4 linked regions of the Oreochromis niloticus genome follow. The protein of the gene in region 2 binds, or shares a complex with, the protein of the main gene of each other region. Links are inferred from orthologs where the notes say so. Each region holds a gene or a part of one and is shown on either strand. Other genes may lie near its edges. The genes, in order: taf5, taf7, taf3 and gtf2h3.

Region 1 (7,485 bases), on a different chromosome or scaffold from region 2:
AGACTCTCATTTTACCATCTTTCCTGCGTTGTTACCGCTCCCCAAGTGCTGCCCCACCCCTCTTGGTTCCCGACCCTCTCCCCATCCCACACACCGTGCTTCTACCTCCACCCTCCTCTTCTCTGCTTTCTCCTTTCATCCCTCCCTTACTCTCTCTTTCGCTCTCTCTCTTTCTCTTTCGCTTTCCATCTCTTTGGGTATTTTCCACCTCTTCTGAGAGTCACACCTCATGAATTATTTACTCGTGCATGTCAGTGGGGGATTTAAATCCGTTTCTTGACCGTTTATTGCTCAAAGACAGGAAGGCAGTGTTTTGTCAGCGGAAGAAAACTAATGGTTCTTTTAATAAAGGTGATCATTGGATGTCCTTTCAGTCACACTCTCTCTCTCTCCCCAGCTGACAGCAGAATACTTGTCAAAAAAAATTAAGGAAAGATTAACAGTGAAACCCGCAGGAGCACAAAGTGTTAGCCATAAGGACATTCAAGGTGAAAGAACAGTGATCAAGCCAAAATTACATCATCATTTGGATAATTTATGCATAAATAGTAATGTTCATGTAGTTGGATTCATTTAAGTAAATCTCAAGAAACAGATATCCTCCACACACATCCACCGAAATGAAATATTAACAAAAAAGAAAGAAAGAAAGTGATTAGAAATCTGCCTCGCCCCTCTCCGCACTTGCAGGACTGCATCGCATGAACATGCACATACACACTTCCCTGCAAAGTGAATGCCTTTTTAATGATGGCCTTTGCCATAAATCTTTTTTTGGAATAAATTAATATAAATCAAATGTGACTGAAACTTTCATCTGCTAACACCATCACTGAACCTGCAAACCTGCAGATTCTTTTTTTGAATTTGCTGGTGCCTCCAATTGTAATTATCACATCAAACACCCCCCAACACCCTCCCCAGTTTTATTGGGTTATATAAACATAAAGCACATCTTCTGTTTGTGTGCAGTAACCATGCAAACGCACTCCAACGCCCTTTTAATTTAACTCACTGATGCATGTCAGTCGTATCAGCACTCTGCTTATTAGTGCCATAGAAATGTAAGGGTTTATAGCAAGTAGAGAAAACCAGAGCAGTCGAAATAATGATGAAATACAGCATAAATATTGCTAAATGCTGCAACTGACTAGATTTTATGGTAAGCTTTTTAATTCAAATAGTATATCATGGCACTAAAGCAGTGTGAATATCAGACTTTAAAGTGCACATGAAACAGTCGCTTTTTCTTTGAGGGTCTGTGTTCGCTCCAGAAAACCTGTCTCTGTTGGGGGAAGCCACACCCTGCTGCCTCGTGACAGAGAAACTGGGGATGGTGGAAGAGTCCTCCAGCATACACACCAACACAGCACACACACACACTATGGCGAGAGAGAGAAAGCGAGAGAGACAACTGAGCAAAGTCATCACTGAGGTGTGAAGAGAGGATGAGACTGAACACGCGTCTCTTTTCACCTCACTCACCCATTTCATTATCACTGCAAAGAGCTCTAGAGCAGCTTCACATAAAATGAATAAAAGACCACTTAATCAAACGAATGGCTTGAAAAGTGGGGTTTTCACTCGAATGTGGTCATTTAAGTCATTAAAATAAAATTTTAAAAAGGGAAAATTGGGCAAGAAAACAAGTGGCTTCTTATCCCCAGCTGCATTTGCTAACCTGGCAACACTGGGGAACCGAGGTTCATGTGGATCAGGGCGGGGCACAAAAAGATCACGCTGTGAAACACTGACACGTGAAAAATAATGGAAACACAGGAAGCTTCTTTGTTTAGAACTGTTTCAGATATCCTCACCAGGGTGATTTTTGTGAGGTAAAAACTAGAACTAGATGTGAAAAAAGCATTAGTTGATATTTTGCACTTAAAAATTTATACCAAAATGACAACATATGGGACATTTTTGACAACTAGTAGGGTTTGGTACACTTATTTACTGAGACTGGGATACCTACACGACTATGTCAAATATAAGTATTGCTGTATTGTACGATAGTACTGTTCTGAATTTCTTAAATCTTACAATCTGACAAATAACGCCATTATTAAAACAACAGAAAATAAAAATAACACTGAAACTTATCAAAAATAAACTGGAACTGAGCATGAAAAATTTTTTAATGAGTAAACACAGTCTTATAAACACTACTAAACCTTTTTTACTCATATTATGTGTGGCTAAATAACAGAAAGGGTAGACAAATGCAATATAAATGCATTTTTTTGCAGTAAAACAGCTCTCATTGTGAAGAAAATTTCTGTTATGCTTTGTGTGAGCATAAAAATAATAATGTTAGGTGATGTATCGTACCTATTTCAGAGACAGTTTACCATAAAGCTTCAGTATATAAAAATAGGCACTTTTACACAAATTAGCCTCATGTAATCGCATCAGTGTCAACATTTGTAAAGAATAATAAAGTATCAAAACAGCTAGAGGAGATTTCTCTCTTTATTACTTTTTACAAATCCTAATTTGATTTTCAGTCAGATCACAGTAATCCTAGCAATCCTAGTAGAACTATTATTCTGTCATTTGAAAAAAAAAAAACAGAAAAGAAAAAACGCACAACCACAAACTGTAGTGATTCAATACAAGTACAAAAGCACATGCCGCTGTTTCCTTTATAGACATGCAGACACTGGAAATTTAGGCCATATGGTTGTGCATAAGTAATCAGGCAGGCGCTTTGTAACTTGCTATATGAAGGAGTCACTTACAGATCAAAAACCTTTAGTCTGACATGTGTTTTAAAGTGAAAATGAAAACATAAATATGTCAGCCGTACAGAGTAATGTTGTTGATATCTTTACACCAAGGAAAGGAATGGATTTTCTCTCTAATTAGCAGCTTTACAATGACCCTGCGCTGATGACCACACCCTGAGCTGCTGGTGTTCACATGTATGTCTCCCACTTTCACCAGCTAACCCCACCCCCATCTCTCCTCCACGAGGGGCAACATAGCCGCAGTGTTATACAACGCTTCTTGTGCCGTGAACCCTTCTTTTGTCCCAGTCTTTAAAATCGACTGCAGCCTGCGTGCTGAACCTGCTGCTGAGTTATCACAGTCTTAATGTCGAGAATGTATTAACCAGGTTTATAGAGTGGAGATCAGTTACAACCGGAGCTATACTCAATAATACACTGCAAGTATATGTTTGTGTGAATTTTTGTTAGAACTCAGTATTATTGTATTTACAGTACATGTATTATACTTGAGGGTGGGGTCAAATAAAAAAACAAAAAACAAATCCAGGTTTTGCACTATTTCCAGCAGAGACACAATGAAATAAGATCAAGTTCGAATTTTTTACTGACAGGCTCCTTGAAATAAAAACAAATGCCGAACTGCCTCAAAAGATGCAAAGTCAGCTGTACATGAATGTATTTGACAGACTGTTCGCTCAAGCAAGGTGTGCTGTATTGTATGGACAAAAATTCGGACTCAGCAGAATGCAAAGTAAACACCACTCATACTCATACACAGTTACTGTCCTTCTTGTGTTTCCTCACTGGTACAAGTTGTCACTTATTATGAAAATGCTACTTATACCTCATCTTACTGTCTCACACATTTCCTGAAGACTCATAAAATATTGTATGGCACTGAAAGAGGCAGATGGTCCATAAGATAATTTAAAGGTGCAGAAGACTGATGTGTCAATAAACTTCTATATTAACAGTATAACTGAGGAGATGACATAGAAATTTGCAAAGTAATTTTCTTTTTGTTTTCATTCACCATGTTTTATAGATTTTATTAAAAAAATGTCTGATTTTATTCATAGCAGCAACACAGTGTCCAAGGAGGTGGCTGGGACGCTGGCCAGCTGTTGTGTGGGAACTAAGTGCCACCACCTGGTAAAAAATGATATAAATTGGATTGTAAGATTAAATCATGCACAACTTTGTTTTTTCTAGGTTTTCATGTGGGGATCAAATGCTTGCGTTTGATATAAATTACAATCTATATAGTGTCTTTGAAATTTGGACTGCTGTTCTTATAAAACAACATATATATCATTAGTTATAGATATTATATTGTTATAGATAGTTATAGATATGTCTTTGGCAAAACAAAGTACTGATTATTTTGTCACTTTATACACAAAACGTTTCTCAAGTGAAACCTATGCACTTGTGAATGCAGTCTTTATGCTGGGGTACAATTAGATATTTATATTATTATAGCATCAAGTTATGAAGAGGGCTGTGTCACAGGAGGTAATTCCACGTGTTTGATTTGGCAGACTTTTGACGTCAGCTGCTCCTCCAAACACAAACCATAAAATAGTTTCTCATCTTGGGCTGGAATCGAACCGGGGACCTTTCGCTCCTTAATGCGTAAACCGCTACACTACCATATTCACTCGAAGGGCGGGACTTCTGTAACGTAAATGATCGCGCTCACTGGTAAGAACCAATCATATGTCTTGGTCTTGTACGGTTTGTGTTTTCCGTTGATTCACGTCGCACATGCGCAATTCATTCTGAAAATGGCGGCCGTACAAGGTGGTATGGGCGACGCGGACATAAAAACAGACATTAAAACAGAACCATCAGCCGATGGCTTTGGAAATAACAATGCTAACGATGGTAGAGTGCTCTCTGCGTCTCCCGGCTCCAGCTCTTCGACTGGAAGCAACAAACAAACAGCCGCGGTTACCCCGGAGGACCAGCAGACATTGCTGGCAGTCCTGCAATTCCTCAAAAAGAACAAACTCAGCGAGTCCGTCGAGATTTTGCGTCGTGAGGCGGGATTACCGGAAAATTCACTGGACCCGAAGGCGAATGAATCGGCCGGGGCAGGATCGGGAGGTGCAGCCGGTATTGTGGACTTAGAAGGCGGGGATGCGAGCTCTCTTCTCAGCCGAGTTACCGGATCATCCTCCGCCGGAGCCCAGGCGCCAACCAAAGGTACAGTACAGTCGGGGTGCTGCCGCTTTTATGTATGAAAACACTTAACAAACGTCTCCTGATCAACCACGAGTTTGACACAACAGCCTAATATAGTGGTATCAGTTAGGGATAATGCTCAGAGCGCTAAGAGTTAAGCACTTTTATACTACAGGGTGTGTTAACTTCGAGTACTAACATATTTATATGTTTATATAGCCTTACGTTTTACGGCAGGGTTACTTCGTGTTCATTCAGTGAAGCGATTGCAGTGATAATGTGTTTTTAATGTATTGGTACCATTATAGGATGTGAAATTGTAATTGCAAATAGAAAGTAAAAGTTAAATGTATTAACTGTAATTAACTGATTAATACCCTTTCAAGTTTAAAAAAAGAGAGGTAAACTTGAGTTTATATGCGGTGGAAAGAAAGCCAGGGTCAGATACAAACTCTGCAGTTCTCTAAAGAAAAAGGAGGTTTAGCTTTACCAAGCATCAAAGTGTATTTAAAAACAGCACAAATCAGACCTTTGATATATTGGTGATGGGATGGACACACTGCAAAATCGAAAAGTTTGGAAACAGGGAATTTTTATGGTGGTTCGCATCAAACTCGAGATTTATAGCTGGCAATCATGACAGAAAGTTCAAGCACTGGGCAAATAAAGGCATCACAGCAATATGCACAATGGTTAAGGATGAAAATATGTTGGGTTTTGAAAGACTGAAGGAAAAATTTGAACTAGGTGAACATGAAGAATTTTGATACCTAAGATAAATAAGGTATTATTATGAGAAGGTTAAAACTGATAAAATAAAATGAGATTATTGAGGTATTTCAGAAGAAAATGCAGGGAAATCTCTGCTTTGTACAGAGATTTAAGGTCATGCAGAAAGACCTCCTTTCTGTATATTAAAGACAAATAGGATAAAAGAAAAGAAAGAACAAATAACTTTAATTTGTAAAACACAGTGCATGGCCACTAGCTCCAGGATAAAGAGAGAATTTAACTGGAAATATGATCTATTGTTGTTGTTGTTGTTGTTGTTTTGTTTTTTTAAAACTCCAAAAACTTGGAGGAATGCTGCATGCTGGAGACTGTGTGGACAAATTGATGTAGATTGTGCACATGTATTTTGCTCATGCCAAAAGATATAGGGGTTGTGGAATAAAATGTGCAAAGCTTTAGCATATGGAATACCCAAATCATGCAAGACATTCTATTTGGGCGACTAGTTAGATGACACAGGACAAAAGGAGGATGGATTTTTACTGTTTTTACTATTATCAGTCAGTTAAAAAGCAATCACCAGTATAAAGCGGGATCATTGACCTCAGAGCAGTGGTCGTGCATTGTTAGTAAAAAAAGTTTTGAAAAAGGCAAAGTTGTATTTACTTTGTAGTTACACTGACAGTTTAGATAATCTTAAAAATGTTTTTTTCCCACGTGGATAAAACCAACACACTGCTAATACAACCCATCTCATTGGGACTTTTTCAGCAGCAGTTGCAGAGGACCAGCCAGATGTCAGTGTGGTACTGTCAGCTTACAGCCAGCAGGGAGATCCAACTCTGTATAAGGTCTACTACAGGGACCTCAAGAAGTTCATAGAAACAGTATTGGACTGTCACAGAGCCGAACTGTCCCAGGTCTTCTACCCACTTTTTGTCCACATGTATCTGGAGCTGGTGTACAACAACCATGAAAGCGAGGCTAAGGCCTTCTTTGAAAAGTGAGTCTAATTGTACATATTTCCAAATATCAGCCACACTCTATTTTCCGTGCACTTTAATGACTTTATTTCTTTATGTTCACCTCCCTCTCAGGTTCAGTGGGGACCAGGAGTGCTACTATGAAGAGGACTTGCGCATTTTATCTGGCTTGACCAAGAAGGAGCACATGAGAGGCAACGAGACTTTGTTGGACTTCCGCACCAGCAAGTTTGTCCTGCGTATCTCCCGTGACTCTTATCAGCTGCTGAAGAGACACCTGCAGGAGCGTCAGAACAACCAGATCTGGAATATTATCCAAGAGCACCTCTACATTGATATCTTTGATGGCATGCCACGCAGCAAGAGCCAGATAGATGCAATGTCTGGCAGCTTGGCAGGAGAGGCCAAGCGTGAAGCCAATAAAACTAAGGTTGGATTTATACACCACACATTTGGACGTTTGACAACTCGAATTTTGAACCCTTGACCCCTAGACTGAGGGCATCCAAAAGCTTTTTAAAATTAAGATAGCCTCACATGTATCTGCCGCCAGTTTGAGCAATTACTTTATTTCTTTCCCCTATATACCAGACCTTTTGAAATGACATGTCCTTGTTCCTTTGTCACTCATCATGTGCAGGTTTACTATGGTTTGCTGAAGGAACCAGAAATTGAGCTGCCCCTTGATGATGAGGATGAGGAGGCAGAGAATGAGGAGGGTAAACCCAAGAAGAAGAAGCCAAAAAAGGACAGCGTGGGCTCCAAGAGCAAAAAGCAGGATCCAAATGCTCCTTCCCAGAATAGGTAGGGATTGTTTACACAGTACTGTACTGTGGGTTTGTTGCACACTA
Region 2 (7,270 bases):
TACCCACACACACACACCAAGGTAGCAGCTGGCCACATGCCAGGAAGTACATTAGCGATTAAAAACAGAAGGGGCCAAATCAATATGGCTCAGCTCTGCACCTTCAGGAAGATTTATTCAGAAGACAAAGTAGAAGTGTAGTGCTCCAGCTCCACTCGCTTTCACTTTGATCAAAGCAATAGTGAAATAGCTTTTTTGCATGCCTTTGGGGAAAACTAAGATGGAAAGGCTTTATTTATATGTAAATCTTAGTTTTCACTTTTACCACAGTTCCTGTTTTATGAAATGTAAATGTCTTGTTGGAAGAGAGCCTAGGAAAAAGATGGATCATCAAACGAGATGCTAAGGAGATGGATGGGACATGGGAGGGGACTGCTGTAGGGAAAATGAAAAATGTCAGAACCTTTTTTTTCGCAGTCTTCCGAAATCTCCTCTTGCGCGTGTTCTTCAGAGGGCAGGTGACTAAAGAGCAAAACAATGGGATTAGTGAAGCCAAAAATCAGTCTATTACCCAAGGAGGGGACATTATGTTTCCTGAACTGCTGATATGCCAAGTTTTCAATATAAACAAGTCAAAAAGCTGCTGTGTGTATATAATTACTTACTGCCGTGATTCCAAACAAATTTCTTGTCCTTGTCTTTATCCTTCTTTTTGGTCTTAGGGTCAGTGCCAGTTGGCTCTTCCAAAGGGGGGTAAAGGTCTCCATCTAGTGTACACACGAGCATCTAACCCGTGGATGGGAAAAATGAATGCAAAATATTATGCTGATTAATCTGCACTGCAACTACACTACAACTGTGGAAAATAAATTTACATAACATGTATCTAAAATCCAAAATGTACTTTTATTTTAAACCAATGAAATAATGGAAAACTGTAAAAATTTATTTCCAGTCTCTTGCTTACCTGGCAGACATCTGCAGTCTTGTAAAACGTCTTCTTATCCACCGTTTTGAGTGACTCAATCATGCAGGGCAGATCAACCAGTTTGCAGGCCAAAGGAACACGGTCTACTCTAACTATGCCATGACGACCATCAGCTACAAATTAGAGGGACAAATAACTGTTAAGGGACATGTGGGTGACATTTCTTTAACTAGTTCCATTAGTATGCTTGTTACATTTAAATAACAAAAAGAATGAAACTGCTATAGAAATATGTACAATGTTCAAAATTCTGGACCCAACTGTAAATAAATAACAAGACAGGGAGACAGTGTGAGACACATTAAACCAGTGCCAAGATTGTGAGCAGCTTACGGTGCAACTCAATGGTGAGTCTGTCCTTCATGTTCATACTGCTAGACTGTGCAATCCTTCTTACTGTTGAGGCATACTCCTGCAAAAGAAAGAAAAATGAAGCCAGATCATATGTATGGTGATAAAACTGAATTTCCATCAAACAATGAATTTCTGCAAGTGCAAACGTCTCACCGAAGGAAGCCTAAGGACAAACTGGCTCTCCAACTCATAAGGGGCATCCTCCTTACTCTTGGAACCGACCTTCCCAACTAAAATCAAAACACATCACCATAATGAAAGCGTTAAAATATGTCTTGCTTGCTATATGATGACAAACTACAAAGTTTGTCATTCTACTTTAACATTAAAATATACAGTACATTAGGTACTCATTTTTTCCTATTTTGAAGTAAGAAGTAATATAGTGTCTAATATATTAATCTCTGGCTCTCTTCCACAGTGTCTTTTTTCACAGTGTCAGATGGATGCCACTCCTGAAGCCTGGTTCTGCTGGAGGTTTCTTCCTGTTAAAAAGGAGTTTTTCCTTTGCCTTTCCCACTGAATGCTTACTCATTGCATTTCGTTTGATTGCTGTGGCTTTCTCTGTATTATATTTTATTATATTATATTATAAATTCAGTTCAACTGAATCATCTGCTAGATGGACTGGTCTGTGGACCATTTAAAGCATTTTTGGTACCTTAGCTGGGCTCTTTGTGCAACTTTAAAATTCTACTACATTATATTTCAGGGGCAAACACTACACTCCACCACATTGTTTGACAGCTTTAATTACTGATCACTTTATAGTCTTTCATGTTCTTCCTGTGGAAAGAAACCTCCAAGTTTGGTGATTTTATATGCAATATTTTACTTTGAGTGTTCTTTGTTTTGCTTTTTTTTTTAAACTTGTGGAAAATTGTCTTTAAAGGTATGAGGTTTTCACTGGGCAGCAACACTAGAAATATATAAACACTAATTAATATCTTAAGTACCTACAACAGTAAAGTTTATTTCAGTGCTGACAAAAAAGGAACTTACAATGTAATAAGCTAAAAATGTAAATAGCCAAACCATTTTTATTTCTCACAGTGCGTATATGCAAACCAACAAATGTTATTGTTAGTTCAATATAACATTTAGTTTATTATATTATACTATGAATGAATAAATGAACGAAAAAATAACCAACGTTCCTACCAAATGTACTATGAATCTCTTTTCAAATTCTATCACGAATGTCTTTACATCAAAAGTAAAACACCGATAATTATTGCTAATAAAGGTTACTTGTGCATTTTACATTAGTGATGTCTACCACACTGTGGACCAGTAACACTATAGGAGATTATACATAATGTTCAAAAGACAGGAACGACAAACGCTAATTTGCGAACACAGTTGTTAAAATATGCCACAGACAACATGTTCTGTTACATCATCACCATTATTGTTACTATCAGCTTCATCTTAATAACCGACAACTAAAAATGTTTCTTTACCTTACAAAAGTGGAGGCTAAGAGGCTAACAGCTAGTTATCTTTAGCATAAGGATAAGGGCAGAGGATTTTAACGTACCTTTCAGTTTAGATGTCATCGTCGTTTTTCAAGTTTAGATGGTGCAGCTGTATAGATATCTTTCAATGGCAAACACGCATAAACATGACAACTCTAAGTAAAAAAAAACGAGACTTCTTAGCTACACGGTGATAGCATAATCACGAGCGAAAACAAGAGTGTTGTATAGGGCTTTGCCACTTTCAATACCTCCTCGGAAATTTGTATTTTCTGTACCTTGGCTGTACAACTCGTATGTCTGAGCATTAAATTACAAATTTAGGCATATTTTAGTTAATAATTAAGTAATTATAATATATATATATGCATATTTTGTACTGCCATGTTATTAAATAAGGACTAACAGTGCAAATTAGTTTGTTTTTCAGTGCATGACAGTAAAATAAAAAATTCCGATAAATCGGAACGTCACACGCAACCATCCGTATCACGAGACTTGTCAAAAGTACTTTTGAAAAACAAAAAATAACGAATATTCTTTATGCAATATAGTTAAATGTATCTATAAATATTTAAAATTATTATTTGATGTTCGTATCGTTATGCTAAATGGTCTGTAGGTAAAAGAAAAGTAGGAAGGAAGTAGGAATGAGGAAATACCACAGGAAATATGCGTCTATTTTTTATTTAAACTTATTCTATTAAGAATTAAACCGTAACCTAAAATAAATGTTAAGTTCGTTATTATATCTGGTTTATTTTTATTTATTTATTTTCAATACAACACAAATCGATAGCCTAAAGGACTGTTGGACTCACTTCCCGGTAAGCACGGCTATCGTCAAATATTTCATAATAAAAGATTTCGGGGAAAACTATCATCGCTAATAAGAAGCAAACTGCCAAGAAAACTGCCAGATAGACATTTTTGTTTATTTAGAAGGTTTATTCTTTTTGCGGCATTAAATTTTTCCACAGGCGTTGATTTTAACCACCCACGGTACGGTGGTGTGCTTTTAATTTGAAACATAAAATTACACTTTCTGGAAAAATTACTTTTCCCTTCCGGGCCGGAATTGGTTTCTCTTTTGCTGTCGTCTTTCTGTTGCCCACTCCCCTCAGTTTATGAATAATATTTGCACAAGTTTATTTTTACCTTCGGCGACGTTGCAGCATTTGGCCGCCGAAAGTCGAAATGGTGTTTAAAGTGACTGTCAGCAGTGCCCGGAGGGCAACAAGGACGCTGTGGCTGCTCGTGCTAGTAAGCCTGCCTGTTTGCATCAGTGTTTGCCGAGCATCATCACCTCAGGAGGACAGTGCCATGGAGAACATCGTTACAGAGAAAAAGGCTGAGGAGAGCCACAGACAAGACAGCGCTGACCTGCTGATCTTTATCCTGCTCCTCACCCTCACCATCCTGACAATATGGTTGTTCAAACATCGGCGGTTCAGGTTTCTCCACGAAACCGGGCTGGCAATGATTTATGGTAAGATGGTCCATCGTGACAGAGAGACGTCATCCGAGCTGTTACACTCATTGTGTCCTAATAGTTAGATTTTAAACAGATGAATGTCAACACCACGCTTGATAAGTTCGCCCCTGTTAATGACATACTTCATTTGGGCGAATTTTAACAGATTTATGCAGCAGGACTGTGCCAGTTTGTGTTGTGATTGAGCAAGCGTAATTTAACGACAGTGAACGCCTCTTTTACACTGCTTAGTCTTAAAAATTACATCTGAGCACCTAAGCAATTTCGACAAATACTGTCTTATGAATCCTACTGAATTTTAGTTCTTAAATAACTTGTTTTTGTTTTGTTTTTGTTTTTGCTTTTTCGTGCAAGTCACAAGTGATTATTTGGACAAGTGCCAATCATGAGTGTGGAACTGGACTTTGCTTCCACTTCTGTATATTGAATTTCAGGAGTATTGTTAGAATTCTTCCAACCCGTAGAAGAGGAAGTGGTCGTGCCATTGTAGAATCATCGTAGAACCATATCTAGCAGATAATTAATAATTTCTGTTTGGCTGTGCAGAGCTTTTAGAGTGTAAACATTCACAAATCACTCACTTTTAGTTTTTATGAAGGCTCCATAGGATGGATAATAACATTATGCTATTATTTTAGCTGTGACATTACTGTCTACTACATGGTTACCAAACCATGCATTACTACCATAGTAACAGATGTTTGATCTGAGCATTTTAAGTCAAGATCAGATCACAAATCAAAATTTGATCAAAATAGCTGGAAAGATGGTTGTCATCCTTCCTCAATTTTCTCTCCATGAGATATTTAAAGACATGTTGTGATGTTTATTTTGTGTGACATATTCCCCTCCGTTGACCAAGACAAATTTCTCCCACTGGAGACAATATGGTCTAATCTAATCTAAACTAATTGAAATTCTAATTTGCTGGTACACTATCTGATAGGGTAATTTATTTTCACATGGATGTGTTAAGACTTTAATTTGAGATCCAAAGCTGTTAGGTACGTCTGTGATGTTCAGACTAGACCTTTGTTTAATTTTTTTTTTCTACAAATTAATTCCACTGAAACATTTTAGACCATCTGTAGTGTCAGGTAGCCTAAAACTGCACTCACCATCCGTTTTTGTGGCAACATGCCATAAACCATTAAAAATCCTGTATTAATCAATTCTTCTCTCTCTACTGTTTTTTTTTTTTTTTTGTCTTTCGTTTTTATTAATTTTTCCCCAGGCTTAATTGTTGGAGTGATTTTGCGTTATGGCATTCATGTTCCTCGGGATGTTAGCAACATCACCTTGAATTGCCAGGTCAATGCCAGCCCTGCCACTCTGCTGGTCAATGTAAGCGGCAAGTTCTACGAGTACACATTGAAAGGGGAGATCAATGCCAATGAAGTGAACGACGTGCAGGACAATGAGATGCTGCGCAAGGTATACTCAGTCGTGATGTCTACATACAAGAAATTGTGTTACAGAGATGGGTAATTATTTTCCTAAGGGACTATGTGAGAAACTGGGACTGTTGTGGAGGACAGTGCCAGTAAATTGAACTCAGTATTAATTTTATCTCTGTATAAGTTATTGGTACAGCCCTCCACAAGAGTCCCAGTTTCTCCTGTATCCCCTTGAGAAGATTAATTCCCCACCCCTGAGCTGGAGCAATCAGATGATTTAATCATCAGCGAAGACATAATTGTCAGTTATTTTACACTGAAATGATAGCAGATGTTTAAATCTGCAAGCACTGATGATCAGACAAAACCAGCTACCCCACATGTTTCCCTTCTGATATTTTAAATACAGCATAACTAACCAATGCAAGAGAGAAATCATAGTCAGGTTAATTTGTAATGGGATTAAATGGTGGTTTTAGTTTTTTGTGAGCTGAATGATTTGTGATTCTCTTTCTGTAATACTAATTATTTATTATCAACATTAAGTAGCTATTTCAAATTTAAAAGAATAGCTGTACATCTAGATCAAATCTGTTTGAAGACTAAACAGGGCATGAAATGCTCTGTTAAAATAACTGGCAGAATGCCTTTATTGGTGATACAGAATGTAAAAGAAACCATAAAAGTAGTTGTTTTACAGTTGTCATGTGCTGGGGTGTGTTTGTCACTTTGTACTTTGTCGGTTAAACAGCTGCACAATTACATACAAGCAGTATTCTTGATGCTATTCTAACCACCAAACAAGTAAACAATCTGCTGAACAAGTTTCATTTTTTTAAGTCATAATCTCACGCTCAGCAATTTAGGATTGTTTTCCAAACATGAATACATCTAATCCATTGTCAGAGATTGAAACCACATACTGATTTGAATGTAGCACTGCTCTAGATTTAGCATCTAAAATTGGCATTAGCCTTAGTATGTGTATATGTATGTGGCTAGAAGCTGTCCTCTTTCTGTGACATACCATGTTACTTTTATAGTAGGTTTTTGTTTATTGTCCTGGAAGCTGTGTCATGATGCCCCAGATGTGTCATTTTTGATTAATTAATATTTCAGTCGATCCATAAATGCAACAGCATAGAAAGAAATATTAATGAAAACAACTTGTTAATTTTCTTTTGATGCAGATCGGCAATTTTGTTCTGTGTTTTGTATAACTCAGGTGACCTTTGACCCTGAAGTGTTCTTCAATATTCTCCTACCGCCTATCATCTTCCATGCTGGCTACAGCTTAAAAAGGGTACAGTATATCATATAAAAAGTCAACATTTATTAAATACATATTTTCAGTATGTGTTTGGCTCTTGATTAAATAACATCATATTTTGACTATGAAATTTTAAAAGTCCATTTGTAGTCTCTTTATAGACCGCAGGGGTTTCATCAAGATGAATAATTTATTTTATAGTAAGTATGCATTTGATTGCTGATCTGGTAACTCTTCTGTCTTTCAGAGACATTTTTTTCGGAACATGGGATCCATCCTGGCTTACGCCTTTCTCGGGACAGTCATTTCCTGTTTTATTATTGGGTAAAAGAATTAATTTGCAATTAT
Region 3 (7,917 bases), on a different chromosome or scaffold from region 2:
TGTCAGTGGTTAGAAATACCATTATTACTTTAGGATTAGTTTAACACAAAGTCAGGGCTGACCCAGGACCATTGCTGTGAGTCACAGTGCGCAGCATAAAGGTCCTTTCACATCTGATGCAGGATGTGCTGCTAATGCTAACTGCTAACTAAAAGCAAAGGATCCAGAATTTGTTGCGCTGGCTGCTGAGCTCTGTGGGTTTTTGCAGCAGCTCTACCTGTACTAGATGCACCTGCTCCTTGTCGTTTCTATCTCTGACTTTATGTCCTCTACAACAGTTTCTGTTTTTTTTGCTAGTTCTTCAAATGTTCAATAAAAACATGTATGCTAATTCATAACGAAGAAAGCTTTGTAATGAAGACTGTCATTTCCAAAACACTGCCCCCCCCCCCCCCCCCCCCCCGCGGTCCGCAGCGCTGTTGAAAAGGCTGTGGAAGTCCCTGTATAAAGCACGTAGACCTGTGACACAAAAATCACCAAACTCGGACGACCACAGACTGTTTTCCTTCGTGGTGATGAAGGAAAACGCTGGGTTGGCATGTAAAAGGGCATTTATTCCCTTCAAGGACCTGCAGTTCAAAAAAGTGCCCCTCCGACAGCCAAACCCATCTGTTCTCTGATTGGATTGTTACATTTGTGATTGACATGACATTCACCAATCAGATGACAGGAAGAAAAATAGGGTCAAACTTCGTATTTGTAACTTGCAGGGGAGTTTTTGGCTAAGTCCACACACAAATCTTTTTTACACATACAAATCTTTTTTACGCACGCACAAATTCTTTTTACACATACAAATCTTTTTTACACACGCACAAATTCTTTTTACACATACAAATCGTTTTTACACACACACAAATCTTTTTTACACATACAAATCTTTTTTACGCACGCACAAATTCTTTTTACACATACAAATCCTGATTTACAAGTACAAAACTGATTTACAAGTACAAAATATTTATGACCACATTTTGAGCCCATACGCAATAACAGAAGTTTGAGTTGAGCAGGAATCTTCCCAGTTAGCCTAGCGTTCAGCAAGGAGGCTGCAGCGCTGCATTATGGGATCTGTAGTTCGTATATTATTAGCGCCTCATATCGCCGGGCCATGCATAACAATAATAGTACATCTATATAAAATGATCTCGCGGGCCGGATATAAATGTACGCCGGGCCGGATGTGGCCCGCTGGCTTTAACTTTGACACATGTGCTGTAGACTTCTTTATCCCCAGAAGTCTTTTTTTCCCCTCATTTTTTCTTTTGCAAATAGAGAAGGCCCTCTGCTGGTTATTTAAAAAATTGAGCTGGGTTTAAGGCACTACTGCATTTGCTTCACTTTTCAGAACCAGAAGTTATATAAATGTAGTCTTGGGAGGTTGAAAAAAAGGAGGTTTTTGAAGATATTTCACCTCTCATACAAGAGGTTATTCAGTTCTATAAACAGGCCCAACTTGTAGAACTTTGGCAAGCTCATCCGAGCCTTTTCGATGTGGCCTCACAAAATTAAAACGACCGCAACAACTGTGAAAAGAGTTGGATGGACATTGCTGCTCAATTGCAGCTGCCTAGTCAATGTCTTTCATTAGTAATTTAGCAAAGTTGATGGTGGTGTGTGTGTGTGTGTCTGTGTGAATGAAAGACAGAGAGGGAGACCAAGAGACAGATTTTGTGTTATAAGCTTCATGTTATCACTTCACTTAATGGACGCACAGTGTGAGCACTCAGGTCACATCAGAGCATCGGGCTGTATAGTGTGAGACCATGCATCGTGACCTACGAACTTCTAACTCCTGCGATTCAATCATACAGTTTGAGCAGGAGCTGAATAACGCAACTGAAAAAAATCGCACAGTGTATGCCCAGCTTAAGCTATCCAATGAAGTGAAGCAAACAATGTCTAGATGCATGCTCAGTTATCTAGGTAAGAAAATCCCAAGAAAGGAATTGGATCCTGGATTGCGTGGCGCAAAGGACAATTGCTGCCTAAATGAAAACCTTTAGTGATCCCCTATGTCAGGAGCATCCGAACAGATGAGAGACATTTTCTTTCAACACAATGTCTCTGTGCCTTTCAAACCCCAAAACTTACTACGCCAAAAAAATTGCTTCACCCCAAGGATCGGATTCCCCAGAACAGACAAAGTAATATAGCGTACATAGTGAAGTGCCATAGTGAAGTGAGTTATACATCAGGAAAACCAAACAACCTCTGGCTGGCTAAGCAGATGGCACAACACAAACCAGCTACCTCAACAGGCCGGGACTTTTTACACCTATAGACCAGTGGCAACTCTTTCTAGGCTGAGATGTACGCATCCTGGCAACACTGGTTTTAATCAAATCAAATCACTTTTATTGTCACGTCACATGTGCAGGTACACTGGTACAGTACATGCGAGTGAAATTCTTGTGTGCGAGCTTCTCAAGCAACAGAGTTGTGCAAAAATACAATAACGTAAAACAAGCAAAAATATAAGAATGGCTAAATCTGAAAGTAATAAATATATGTACAATGTATAAGAGTATATGCATTATTGGATGTGTATACTAAATATGTTTTTCTACGTGTGTGTGTGTGTGTGTGTGTGTGTGAGTGTGTATATACATCTTTTACAAATGAAATAGAGTAAACAATAAAATAAGATATATAAAATGTGCAGAGGTTGGTAGTTGGACATGTGCAAAACAGTGGCATTAATGTACAGTATGGAGTGCATAATGTTGAAGTTCCAGTAGTGAGGGTGAGGTGTCTATGACGTGTTCAGCAGTCTGATGGCCTGGTGGAAAAAGCTGTCTCTCAGTCTGCTGGTGCGGGACCGGATGCTGCAGAACCTCCTTCCTGATGGAAGTAGTCTGAAGAGTTTATGGCTGGGGTGACTGGAGTCCTTGATGATCCTCCCCGCTTTCCTCAGGCACCGCTTCCTGTAGATGTCTTGGAGGGAGGGAAGCTCACCTCCAATTATCCGTTCAGCACACCGCACTACTCTCTGGAGAGCTTTGCAGTTGTAAGCGGTGCTGTTGCCATACCAGGTGGTGATGCATCCAGTGAGGATGCTCTCAATGGCACAGCGATAGAAGGTCCTGAGGATGTGGGGGCTCATGCCGAATCTTTTCAGTCTCCTGAGAAAGAAGAGGCGCTGCTGCGCCTTCTTCACTGTTTTGTTTATGTGTACTGACCATGTGAGATCCTCAGCCAGATGTACACCAAGGAAGCGGAAGCTGCTCACTCTCTCCACAGCGGCGCCGTTGATGGTGATGGGGGTGTGTACTTCCCTGCACCTCCGGAAGTCCACTATCAACTCCTTTGTCTTTGCGACGTTGAGGGTGAGATGGTTGTCTTGACACCAGTGGGTCAGGGCGCTGACCTCCTCCCTGTAGGCCGTCTCATCACCGTTGGTGATAAGACCCACTCCCTTTTATGTAGGGAGACAAGCAGGCCATTCATGTAGGGAGTGACTACAGGAACAGATCAGAGGTACATTTTTTCACCATCTTACAGCCTTTCTCCCACTCTCTGTGAATGGTACTCAAGGCCATTGATCAGTGATTGATCAGTGGTGATAACCATTTGCATATTAATGATCACGAAACTGACCTCACACCCATCATTAATCAGTGGGGCTAGTTTCAGTCATTATGCAAATATATTGTTATAAGGTTCAGGAAATCTGCAGTCAGCTGAGACTTAAGACGTCCCTTGGAGGAGTGACAAAGCATTTCTCCCTCTGAAAACACAAAGTCGAGGTGAAGAGAATCAACTTTCTGGAATCCAATCAAATAACGACTCACAACAGTAGGTAAGTGACTCTCAGGACAGGCCAGTCTAGGGCTAAATACCGAAGACTCTCCGGTGGTTAGAGGAAGCTTCTTGAATAAAATGGCAAAACTTCTTTGAGAACCTAAAGAAGTCCCATTGACTTATTTTCCAGCAGTCAAGACTTCTGGATTGACTGAGAACCTACACAGACACATTTGACACTTCCAGCATTCGCCACAGCTAATAAGCTTCACCATCACCAAATCTACAACCAGTTTTGAGACCCATGATAGAATTTGAGACTTCGGATTAAACAGCCATCTCCAGCACCATTGTCACAGAACCAATACAGATTTTTTTTTTCAAGAATGGTCCTTAAGGGATCCAATAACTTAGGAGAATCATTGCAGAGGTGCACTGAAGCTTTTGTGGTGGGCACATGGTGACCAGACACATTGACACTGGCTTTCCTTTGATGTGACTGTCAGTTTGTTATACAAGTCTGGAAATATATGGAGATAAACTGAAATTCGACTGCTTAATAAAGGTCTACAGCTGGAAGGCGGTGATCATTTTTAATAATCCAGCACCACCCAGTGTGGGGAATTAAACCTGCAGGCAAACCACGCTCTATTTCTCACACAAACTCATGTGATAAAGTTTACGTTAGCTTTCCAAATTTAAGAGTCACCTAGAATTAGCTTTAGTCTGACAAAATGAATTTTAAAAAGCCACCCTGCAAATTGGGATTTTGTTTTTCTCAGACAGTGGGTATATTTTTCTTGAAATATTCTACTTTTTACTTGGGCCGGAAGTGAGAAACAGTTACTTCGGCGTCACTCGGCGGTGAGAAGCTAAAACCGAAACTGACGGCTGGCGTGCCCTGAACGTTGTGAATGTTCCTGCAGCGTCAAAAAAAACGCGCATAGCTTAGTTTAGTTGAGTCATGGCTCTAATTTAAAGCCATGTTTCATCTACGGTAACTAGTCTACATTCAATAGCCCAACTAATGACCATTCCCAGCCTGAGTAAAATCTAGCTTCCTGTATAACCCACAGAGAGAGCTCCTGCGCCTGTGCAGACAGTCACGATCCGCTCGAACTCCGCAGAGCCGTGTAGGCGGAGGCTCACTGGCGCGCATGCGCGGACTAGATTCCGGGGATGGGTCTATCGATGGAAACAAGATGGCGACTCTGGCAAAAGCGCCAATATATTTACTGAAGTAGATGTCCATATTTAACCGTGGTAGTGGGTTTTCCCAAGCCCTTCGGGGCATTCCGCGAAACATGAAGAGCGGGAGCATGTTTTCCAAGAGGAATTGACCGGGATTAATATCGTAACAAAGTCAGCGAGATGTGCGAGAGCTATGCCCGCTCGCTGCTGCGTGTCTCGGTGGCGCAGATCTGCCAGGCTCTGGGCTGGGATGCGGTTCAGCTCACTGCGTGTGATCTGCTGTCCGATGTGCTGCATCGGTACATCCAGCAGTTGGGTCGGGTCTGTCATCGATACTCTGAGTTGTGTAAGTGCTTTCTTTGGTTCTCTTATTACTTTTTTTAGCCTGTAAACTCAAAAGTAGTCGATCACGTTGTTGTTAACTGGCTCTGCAGCTGGCGCCCCCTAGCAAGCAGTTAATGTGTCAGAAAGTACAGTAGGAACAGCAAAGCGACTTCCCCAGTACTATTATTATTATTATTGGGAGTATGCTGCTTTGCATCTGTTTTCAGTGCTAAAAGTAGCCGATCTCACGAGTATTGGTTACTTAATTGCTGTATAATCTATAAAATAACGTCGTATGCCGACTGTAAACCTGTTGAGCATCACTTCTTGGTGCAGGAAGAGTGTGTGCAGAGTGTGTGCTGTGGTTTAATGACAGCATTTTTGATCCATTTCAGATGGAAGAACAGATCCAGTCCTGGACGATGTCAGCCAGGCTTTCAGACTGCTAGGGGTGAGTCTGAGCGAACTGGAGGACTACGTCAACAACCTGGAGCCTGTGCCCTTCAGCCACCAAACACCGCTCTACCCTGTTAGCAAAAACAATGTCCTGCAGTTTCCCCAACCTGGAGTTCGAGATGCAGAGGAAAGGAAGGATTACATTCCAGAGTATATGCCACCCCTGGTCTCCTTACAAGAAGGTCAGTATAATAACTTGTATAGTATTAGCTATATGATCATTACTTTTTAGTGTGCACAGGCTGAAAGTTGAAAGCAAAGTCGAATCAAGTCCTCTCTAAATACTTTGCAAACAATATAGCATTATAATTAAGTTTATTGCAGGGTTGTTACATTAGACTATGATGTAACACAGCAGATTCGTAAAATAGTTTTTTACGAATCATCTTTTTGCTTTGTAGACATTTTATTGTGTTGTAAATTTTTAATGTATATTTATATTATATTTTATATTTTAAGTTGCTAAAAATAAGTGTAAATGCATCAATTCACACAAAGTGAAATACTTTTTTTAATACCCAAATATATTCAGTCAAAAGTCAGTCAAGTCAAAAGTTCAAACTAAAGTCATATGTTTATGTTGTAAATGTCATGTTGTTATTGTCAAAGTTCTTAGTTCTGTTTTTTATCTCCTTTACTCTAGAAGAAGAGGAGGAAGAGGTCCCCCCTGATATGGGTACTTCAGCTGAAGCTATGCAGGTGGCACTGGAAGAGGATGAGGAGGAAATAGATGAAGATGAAACGGTCAACGATGAAAATCATCCACTAAAGAGGCACCTGGATAGTCCTGATGCAGCTATGGGCATGATGCCTACCTCCAAGAGACCTCGGATGTACCCTGGCCTCAGCCCAGAGTGGGGTCTTGAGCCCAGGGAGCCCCTTACGTCTCTCAACCCTCAACGTGTTAGTCCAGGTATTCTGCCTTCTCATGACAGCCTGGACCCCCTGTCACCTGAAATGCCATCTGGTACCCTGCCTTCCTTTAGACCTCAGCCCGTAATACCAAAACACTCTGATCAGAAGGCCCTCACTGCTCCAGCAAGAAAGCCTAAGGTCTCTTCCCCTGGCAGACAAAGGACTAAGTCCCCTAAAGGGGTTATTCCTGTTCCAGTGGTTGGCAGTCCCATAAATTCACCAAAACCATCTAAGGAAAAGAAAAAGTCTCCAGGCAAGACAAAGAGTCCTAAAAGCCCCAAGAGCCCTAAAATGGCCCCTGCTAAAGCCCCCCAACCTCAGAGCAAACCAGATGTCATGCAAAAGTTACCGTTGTCCACACCGAGTGAGAGCATGGGCAAAGACAATATTCATTTGCGTCAGAACATAGAAGAAAGGGAGCTAATTGCAGGCCCTTTCAAGAAATTAGAGCCAGATAATAGAGCAATTGATGATTCTATTGACGCTGTGATAGCTAGAGCATGTGCTGAACGGAAACCCGATCCATTCGCGTTCTCCTCGGGCTCTGAGTCGGATAGCAATGGATTCTCCAGTCCCAGGAGACTGACTATTATGGAGCCATCTACACCTAAAGGCCCAATTGGTGCTGGCATCTTGTTAAAAGACACGTCAACACCACTTCACCCTCCGCCACACATAGGCCTGGGGAATTGGACGATGGATGATTCAATCAACGAGGTGATCCGAAAGGCCAACCAGGGGGGGCCATCTGCCCCCGCTGCACCCCAACCGGCAGCAGATTACGTGTCATCCGGATCAGCTTCACCACCTACCCCTGAACCACTCCTCAAGGTGTTTGAGGAGAAAAATAAGATTGTGTCATCAATAGATGTCAAGAAGAAGCTAAAGAAGGAGCTGAAAACTAAGATGAAGAAGAAGGAGAAAGACAAGCCAAAAGATAAAGACAGGGAAAAAGATAAGAGTAAGCTGAAAGAGAAGAATAAGGACAAGAACAGGGATAAAAACAAGGAGTTTTCTAAAGATGGGAAGATGCCCTGGAAGGAGTTTGGGGTAAAGGACGAGGAACTTTTTGTTCCACGAGACTTCGCCCTGGCTGAGGGCTCAATCAAAATGAAGTCAAGAGATGGGGACGGCTCTAAAAAGGAGAAGGAGAAACATAAAGACAAAAAGAAGGATAAAGAAAAAAGTAAAAAGGACAAGGATAAAAAGGACAAGGGGAAAGATAAGAGCAAGGACGACAAGCAGAAGCAATCTACATTATCCCCCTTTGGTCTGGGTGATATCCCG
Region 4 (7,845 bases), on a different chromosome or scaffold from region 2:
CCTTCGGACGGCTTAATGCCCACCAACAAACCCACTAAGACAGAAAGCCTTCTTACACTAAAGGCATTACAGCACACTGAGCGATGGCAGTATAGAGCTACAGTATATTTTCTGCGTTTATATAATATAGATTTTTAAAACAGTTTTTTTTTTGGCTTGTTTTACTCAGTCTAGATATATCTTGTATACATATATCCTCAAAGACAATGACACAAATATATCTGTCGCACAGTACAGGGGGGGTCAGATATGCAGAAGTGATATGCAGTCCGGGGACCAGAGGGTCCAATTCAGCCCACTGGATAGCTGTTCGAGGACAATGACTGTATAAATTATTTATTATATGTTCATTGGTCAGATTACAATGAGGTCATTATGTAATAAAAATGTTCTGCTAATGCAGGCCAGTGTTGCTACAGAGAAGTAAAAATGAATGGAAAGTAAACATTTTAAAAGCATAAATTCCTGTTGCACTTACAGTGAGTCAGCATACAAGTTTTTATCCTTTTCTTCATCCAATATGATCTGTCATGTGTCATCGATGCATTTAATGACACTGAATGTAAAAACGTACATGTAATAAAATTTGATTTATTTTGCATGGTTCTCTCAAGGTTATTATTCTTTACTAGTTTATACTTTAATAGTTTTTCTAGCATAGTCCAGTTTAGATCAAAATGGGATATATGTGGCCCATTAACTTAAACGAGTTTGACACCCGTATAGGCAGACAAAATGTTTACACTCTGATACACTCCAATATGATTGTAAGCTTCTTCATGATTGCTTTTAGAGATACTTGCAAAAAGAAAGCCAGTGGTTTAAAATTGCAGTGTCATGTATATTAAATATACAGGTCAGTGCAAAACCCTTGATGCAATCCTCATTTCTTTATATTTAGCAAAGAATAAGTAAAAAAAAAAAAAAAAAAAGCTCCTTGGGAATCACCTTGCTGGTATCTTACCTTTGGCATTTATTTTTATTTTTATTTATTCATTTTGTATATTAAACTAAAGAAATGGGAAAGATTATATGCTTTCCAACAAGCTGAGGTAACAAAGTGCCTAAATATACAATTTAACATAGGTTCTTTGTTAAGTTGTCTGTGTAGATGCATTTATGAGAAAGTGATTTATAAGTCACTGTTAAGTAGATTAACAAACAAAAAGAAATTCCTCTGAAAACGGTCCAGTGCAAAGACTGCACTGGAAATGAGTAAAAAATTGAGCCAGTTTCCTAAAAAAAGAAAGAAAAAGAAAAAGAAAAACAGAATCTCCTGAAGACCGGCCGAACGACCGCCTAAGAGCACTTAAAAATCACAATAAAGTGTGCCTCCTTGGAATCAAAATATAAAGAAATGCTCAAGACATTTGCACAGTACAGAAATCGATGATTATACCCTTCTTCATCATGGTCCTTGGTTTTTATTGTATTTGTCCTTATTAACATAATTATTGCTCCTTTTTGTGTGAAGCTTTTTTTTCTTAATTCAAGATGCACTTGTGTTATTTCAGTGTGTACAGACTGCACTGCTGTATCATTTTCCACAATTTTTTAATTTTCTATTATCCCCCCTATTTTGGTTTGTCTACCTCGCATGAATAAAAAAAATATCTCAACATGCAAATATACACACTTACTACGCAACAGTGAGCTACTTCGGACAGACTTGCCACGAAGTGAAATGCTCCCCTGAAGGGTTTTTTTTCTTCTTTTGTTGCATTCTGTATAGTTTCACCGGGGACGTATTTCGATGTAACACACAACATTGGCGCTTCCTGTTTAAACCTCAAACACTCGTAGATTTCTTGAAACTTCGACGTTTAGTTTACGTTTTATAATTTCACACATGTCCAGTTTTGTCAGGAGGCCTGTGTTAGAAAGATAACGTGCTGACACGTGATCGAAGCGCTCTTCAGAAGCAGCGAAAGAGACCGAGCATGACAGCCGCTCATTGACTTCACAGTGAAACTACAGAAAAGGTAATTAAACGCTTTGTGGAGTTAGCGTTTTAGAGAAATAGAGCTGAATAGAATAGAATAGAATAGAAGGCGTTACTCGTTATGTGTTTCTTATGTGTAAATGTGAACCTTATTAGCTAGCATATTTATGTGTGTTTTACTCACACAACGCTGGTTTCCTCCGTCAGGTTTGATAGATGAAAACAGGTGACAGGAGAGTATCCCTGGACAAAATACAGAGTTTTCACATAATCTGTACAAAGCCAGTCAAAGTGACAGATTATCGCTTCCGAAAGGACTTATAATGTTTTTTTTAAATCAGTATGTGAACTTTGAAAAGGAAAACAGTTTCTCCTTCTTCTTCTTCTTTTTCTTATTGTTATTATTATTATCTAGGTATATATAAAAACTATTTTTTTTAGTAAATGTGCAGGTTGGTGAAAAGAGGATGTCTAACTATAAGTGTACAAAAAGAATATTAACGAGGTTGTTTACAGTGTTCATCAATGTGACTTCAGCACTGACATCAGTCTATATCTCAAATATACCGGAATAACCAAAAACTCTTCATGGCAGTTATATTGAAATTGTCTGTGGGCAACATGAAACTTCATTTACACTTATTGTTTTGATTTATTGTCATGCCATGTGCTATCTGCTAACTCAGTCGAAAACACAGAGCGTATGTAATATCTATTGTCTAATACAAGGGTGTGAAACACACGGCCCAGGGGTCAGAATCAGGCCAGCACAGACTCCACCCCACTGAACAGCTTTGGAAAAATGTGAAGGGGGGGGTTATATTTTGGACTTTTAACTGTATTTTCATAGGTTTTACAGCTTTTCCTTTGGATAATTCATGCTACTCTGAAGAAAGTAGTAGATAAACAATTAAATGACTTTACTTATATGAAGACATCCGAGGGGTTCTATGTGTAGTTATAAAAAGAGACAGACAAACACTATGTTTTTTGTGTGTTTTGTAACTGGAGTGTAATAAGCAGTCTACATAAAATAAGAAATGAAAGTGATCTTTTTGTTCTTTACATATCCGTAATCTTTTCATTTTATTCAGAATATCAGCTATAAGAACAGATCAACATGTCCTCTGAGGAGGAGATATCTCAGACCTCTTCTGCCTCTTCCTCCTCCTCAAACTTGTCTACCTCCCACTTCATTGGAAAGAAGGAGGACATTGTCAAAGCTGGCCGTGTGACAAAGCTGGTGAACGGATGCAGAGATGTGCTGGTCGTTCACCACCAGGGGCAGCTTTATGCAATGGACGTGCGCTGCTACCGTAAGTACTTCTTCTGCTGAGATAATCCATAGTACATTGCAGAGTATATGTTCTGCTACGGCTCGTCGTTAATGTGCATAATGCCACATTTTTTTTCATGGACAGATTCAGGTGGTGCTTTACAGTATGGAGACATTGAGGTGAGTTTTCTGCTGTTTATTCTGATTACTGGTGTATATTAAGAAAATCAGTCACCTTTTGACTCGTTTACTGTAAACAGCTGTGCATAAGTCTGACACTCAACTTTTCCTGTAATATCTGAAAAATGCAAATGCTTTTTTCTCTAACCTTTCGACCTGTGTTACCTGTAGGAGTTCAATGGACGGCTGTGCATCGTGTGTCCGTGGCACAAGTACAAGATCACCCTCGCAGAGGGGGAATCGCTTTACCAAGCTGTGGACGACCCTACAGCCAAACCGCTGAGGACTTACTGGCGCTCCAAGGGTGTCAAACAGAGGGTTCATAAGGTCACTGAGGTCAACGGGGATGTGTACGTGATGCTCAATGACTCCGGCGAAGCCATCGAGTCAGATGTCTACCAGACTGAGAAATACAGGCGCGCTTCACTCAAAGCCAAGCCGAAAGCCAAACCCAAGACATAACCTTTAATGCTTCAGGGATAATTTAAGGAACTTTGCTCGTCTTCCACTGACTCTCTGATCTTGTAACAGTATAGAAAACATGGTCTTACTGCAGACGTGCATAAAATCAGTAAATGTCTGGCATGGTGACTTCCTCAGGAACTTTTTATTTTGAAGCTGATACAAACAGCTGGCTGATACACAGTTTGTTTTTAGTTACATTTTCTAAATTATTATTTTTCAACAAAATAATCATTGTGTTTCATTATAACTTCATATGTGAATTTTTATAATTGTTGTTATTATTATCATTATGTTTTTATTGTATTTATTTTTTTTCTTGTAATTAAACTACCTTAATGGGGATCAATTGTTCCAGAAAAAATGGGACAGTGTGCAAAAAAAAGCAGAATATAATGATTTTGAAAATCATTGAAACATTAACTATTTAACTCAAAGTATGATGAAAAATAAAACATGCATCGTCTATTCTTATCTGTTATGCAATAAATAACACAAGGATAGACAGAGGCTTTAAAATGATTCAAAACTGTAACTGCTTAAATTGTGAGATCTACAGCAGCACTTCAGCACTTGGACAACTTCTCAGGTGATCAGTTAGTTCAGTTAAACTGATAACCCCCTGTGGTGATACTGCTAAATTTTATATACCTAATATACAATTTTCTGTAAAAGATTTTACTGTGTTGTTTTTTTCTAGCATATGAACAGGATGATGATTTGAAGCTTGCAAAGAAATATTAGAATTAATTTAAAGATGGAATTTCCATCCATAAATGTATTTTACAGACCGCCCTGCCTCCCGCCCTATGGCAGCTGGGAGGGGTTCAAGCGCGGCTCTAAATTGGATGAGCAGAAGATAAGGGATAGATGGAAAGATTTAAGAACGAAAAAAAGGGTTGGTTTATATGACCATGAATGTAGAGAATATAGAGACCGAAGAATTTACGCTACAGCAAATGGGCGCTAGGTGGCAGCAGTGTGCCGGGCGTCTGTAGTCTCCTATGAAAAGCCACAGAAGAAGAAAGATCGTTTCCTGGAGACGCCAGCGGTGTAAATGATGAGAAATAATGTGCGTAGCCCTGCATTTAATTGCTTTTCCTAAACTATCTGGACTTTAATACGCTCCTAGTTGTCTGCAGATTGTTTGAAGTTTAAGATAAAGTATGAGCACTAAGAGAAGATAGAGCTGCAGAATAGAAGCCATCTCTTTTTCAAGTCAATAATCTGCCGTGATGGCATCAGGTATGTAGCCTGGCTCGTAATGAGTCTTTGCAGTGTTTATTTTGTACACTCAGGTGCTTTTTGATGAAACTCTTCCAAAATCTCGCCCAGAGGACGAAATCAACCTCCTGGTGATCGTCGTGGATGTAAACCCCATATGGTGGGGGCAGCAGGCTCAGCGGGATCCACAGGTATTAGCTGTGATGTCTGTGGTTACTCTGTCTGATTCAAGTCTTTCTGAATGTCTCTGATGCTAAACAACGCTCCATGTACCCCTGTGTCCGCCCAGTTCACCCTGTCCAAGTGTATGGATGCAGTCATGGTGATGGGAAACGCTCACATGGCCATGGCTAGGACAAACAAGCTGGCTGTCATCGCTAGCCACTGCCAGGGCAGGTAATTTCATACCATAGTTTCATTGGGTTTCACTGCACAGAGGAATTTCTGAGGTCCAAACACAGGCTTGTAAACCAGAGTAAGAGGAGAATCACCATCATGTGGAAAAGTATATTATCTGTCAGTTCTTGGAGTTACATATTACAACATAAAAAATAGCAGTCGTCTTAAAATCAAGGAAATACAACATCAGATGAACCAAAACATGCGAAATGTTTTCAAGTGTCATTATTTGTTTGAATAATAAAATAAAAACAACTAACCCAAAGTGCAGAAGTGTAAGCCGGTTCCACCACATCCCAAAGGTGCTTTTTTGGATTGAAACCTGGTGACTGTGGAGGCCATTGGTGTACAGTCATGTTCAAGAAACCAGTTTGTGATGCTACAAGCTTTGGGACATGAAGTGTCCATCCTGCTGGAAGCAGCCATCAGGAGTTTGGTACAGTGTGGTGATAAAGGGACATGGACATGATCAGAAACAGCACTCTGATAGGTTGTAGTGTTTAAACAAAGCTCATTTGTTACTAAGGGACCCAAAGTTTGAGAAGAAAATACTCCTACACCATTACACCACCACCAGTGTCATATAAAAGACACAATGGATCCATTCTTTCATGTTGTTCTGACTCTACCATCTGAATACTGCAGTACAGATTGAGATTCATCAGATCCGGCACCATTTTCCAGATCTTCTATTGTCCAGTTTTGGTGACCCTGTGAGGGGAATTTTGGCCTCCATTTCCTGTTTTTAGCTGATGGGCGTGGAATCCAATATGCTCATCTTAGTATTTCTTCCACTAGTTTTAGTTTCTAGGAATAAAGTACTGTCTGTTTAATGTTTTGCTGCTGTCGCTGCTCATATGCACTTTTCTCCCACTCACTTTTTCAGTCACTTCCTGTATCCTAATAAGAGCTGGAGTGGAGGAGACGGTGGTGGCAATGATGCATCCTCAAGCGGAGATGGAAAATATGAACTCCTGTCTGCTGCCAATAACCTTATTGCTGAGGAGATCAGGAACATAATGTCAAAAAGTAAGCGTGTATTTGCGAGGATAAACTCTGAGGTATTTAAAGATGTCGTACAGTGCTCCCTAAAATCCAGTTTGTCTCACATGATTTCAGTTGAAGTTACGGGAAATTCAACAGATACTTTGTTGGCCGGATCCCTCGCCAAAGCTCTCTGCTGTATCCTTTTCATGAAGACTGTTTTATCATTTACGACATGTAGTGCAATAATAAACAGTGCATTCAGTGCACGACTCCACAGAATCAGCCAGGAAGTGTAAAGATAGACAGAGGCTCGAAACTGTAAGCAGATATTTATAGCTTTTTACAAAATTACTGTAATTAATGTCAAATGGGCCTACATATGTTTGTAGTGCAGGTAAAATATTGTTAATCTTGACTTTAGAGGACATTTAGTGTTTATTTTGAAGAGAAATAGAATGGTATGACTTATTTAATCTTTTTTTTTTTGCATTTTAAAGTTAAATTTATACGCCATCGTCGCCCAGAGAATGTTAGATATTTGTTTGTGTTGCAGAACGTATGTGATGTTTTGATCTAAAGTTAAATATCTATAGATTATTTATTTTCCACCAATATTATTTACTTTTTCACCTTAAACCTTTAATATCTAGATATTCACAGGCTCACGAAAGAGCTGGAAGGTGATTTCATCTTTATACATGCTTAATTATGCCAGTTCTTGAATGAAGTTTTCCAATTACCCTGCTTTAATGTATATATTTCTTATTTTTTCTATATTTTTTAGTTGGACAAGAGATTAAATCAAGAATATTGGTAATGCCCAAATTTTCAAACATCATGAATACTTTCGTTTCGTTTTTTTCCCACCTGACTTTGACCCCTCTTTGACCCTTTGCACTGTATAGGTGGTAAAAGCGGCTGAGGACTGCGCCCTCCAGTACATGAACTTCATGAATGTGATTTTTGCTGCTCAGAAGCAGGTAGAATATTTAATAGATTATTGTCCTGTATTAACACTTAATGACCCTTTACTTACTACAGCCACTGCTGTGGATGAAAAGTTGGACCTAAAGATGCTTATAATGAAATGCTGTGTTGAAATAAAATAGTTTAAAACTCCCAGAAATAAGTAAAACTGTCGACAGTATATAACAAAACATCTGCTATCACTTAACAATCCAAATCATTTGCATGCTGATTTTAAGAAATATCATCCACTAATCCTTTATAACTTTATTACACATAGAAGCCAAAATTTACAAAATAGACTTAAATGTTTTATTCGTTGTGACCCAAAATAACCAGCTGAGTCCATAAATTCAACAAGAGCGTCTTTACAGAGGTTTTGATTTTATTTTATTTTATTGATTAGCAT

The links.
Region 1: taf7 (region 2) and taf5 share a complex: the UniProt entries of both Homo sapiens proteins name them as parts of the TFIID basal transcription factor complex. The link is inferred for Oreochromis niloticus from reciprocal best matches to the Homo sapiens genes TAF7 and TAF5.
Region 3: taf7 (region 2) and taf3 share a complex: the UniProt entries of both Homo sapiens proteins name them as parts of the TFIID basal transcription factor complex. The link is inferred for Oreochromis niloticus from reciprocal best matches to the Homo sapiens genes TAF7 and TAF3.
Region 4: taf7 (region 2) and gtf2h3 share a complex: the UniProt entries of both Homo sapiens proteins name them as parts of the TFIID-containing RNA polymerase II pre-initiation complex. The link is inferred for Oreochromis niloticus from reciprocal best matches to the Homo sapiens genes TAF7 and GTF2H3.

Annotation. Positions count from the first base shown.
Region 1 is NC_031971.2:33,266,309-33,273,793, forward strand, and holds the start of taf5 (transcription initiation factor TFIID subunit 5), read left to right. Parts: upstream 1-4,484; 5' UTR 4,485-4,519; coding exon 4,520-4,940; intron 4,941-6,422; coding exon 6,423-6,654; intron 6,655-6,748; coding exon 6,749-7,064; intron 7,065-7,274; coding exon 7,275-7,438; intron 7,439-7,485. UniProt on the Homo sapiens protein: The TFIID basal transcription factor complex plays a major role in the initiation of RNA polymerase II (Pol II)-dependent transcription.
Region 2 is NC_031966.2:19,243,609-19,250,878, forward strand, and holds the start of taf7 (transcription initiation factor TFIID subunit 7), read right to left. Parts: upstream 3,013-7,270; 5' UTR 2,842-3,012; coding exon 2,823-2,841; intron 1,513-2,822; coding exon 1,436-1,512; intron 1,341-1,435; coding exon 1,262-1,340; intron 1,042-1,261; coding exon 908-1,041; intron 727-907; coding exon 606-726; intron 463-605; coding exon 404-462; intron 1-403. Other genes in the region: slc9a6a (sodium/hydrogen exchanger 6a), read left to right, coding at 3,958-4,249, 5,490-5,689, 6,878-6,955, 7,170-7,246. UniProt on the Homo sapiens protein: The TFIID basal transcription factor complex plays a major role in the initiation of RNA polymerase II (Pol II)-dependent transcription.
Region 3 is NC_031972.2:48,372,865-48,380,781, forward strand, and holds the start of taf3 (transcription initiation factor TFIID subunit 3), read left to right. Parts: upstream 1-4,900; 5' UTR 4,901-5,115; coding exon 5,116-5,281; intron 5,282-5,654; coding exon 5,655-5,897; intron 5,898-6,358; coding exon 6,359-7,917. UniProt on the Homo sapiens protein: The TFIID basal transcription factor complex plays a major role in the initiation of RNA polymerase II (Pol II)-dependent transcription.
Region 4 is NC_031977.2:19,470,784-19,478,628, reverse strand, and holds the start of gtf2h3 (general transcription factor IIH subunit 3), read left to right. Parts: upstream 1-4,839; 5' UTR 4,840-5,095; coding exon 5,096-5,105; intron 5,106-5,195; coding exon 5,196-5,275; intron 5,276-5,373; coding exon 5,374-5,480; intron 5,481-6,369; coding exon 6,370-6,512; intron 6,513-6,602; coding exon 6,603-6,665; intron 6,666-7,120; coding exon 7,121-7,150; intron 7,151-7,254; coding exon 7,255-7,283; intron 7,284-7,375; coding exon 7,376-7,450; intron 7,451-7,845. Other genes in the region: uncharacterized protein LOC100696553, read right to left, coding at 1,641-1,769; Rieske domain-containing protein, read left to right, coding at 3,063-3,258, 3,364-3,398, 3,570-3,860. UniProt on the Homo sapiens protein: Component of the general transcription and DNA repair factor IIH (TFIIH) core complex, which is involved in general and transcription-coupled nucleotide excision repair (NER) of damaged DNA and, when complexed to CAK, in RNA transcription by RNA polymerase II.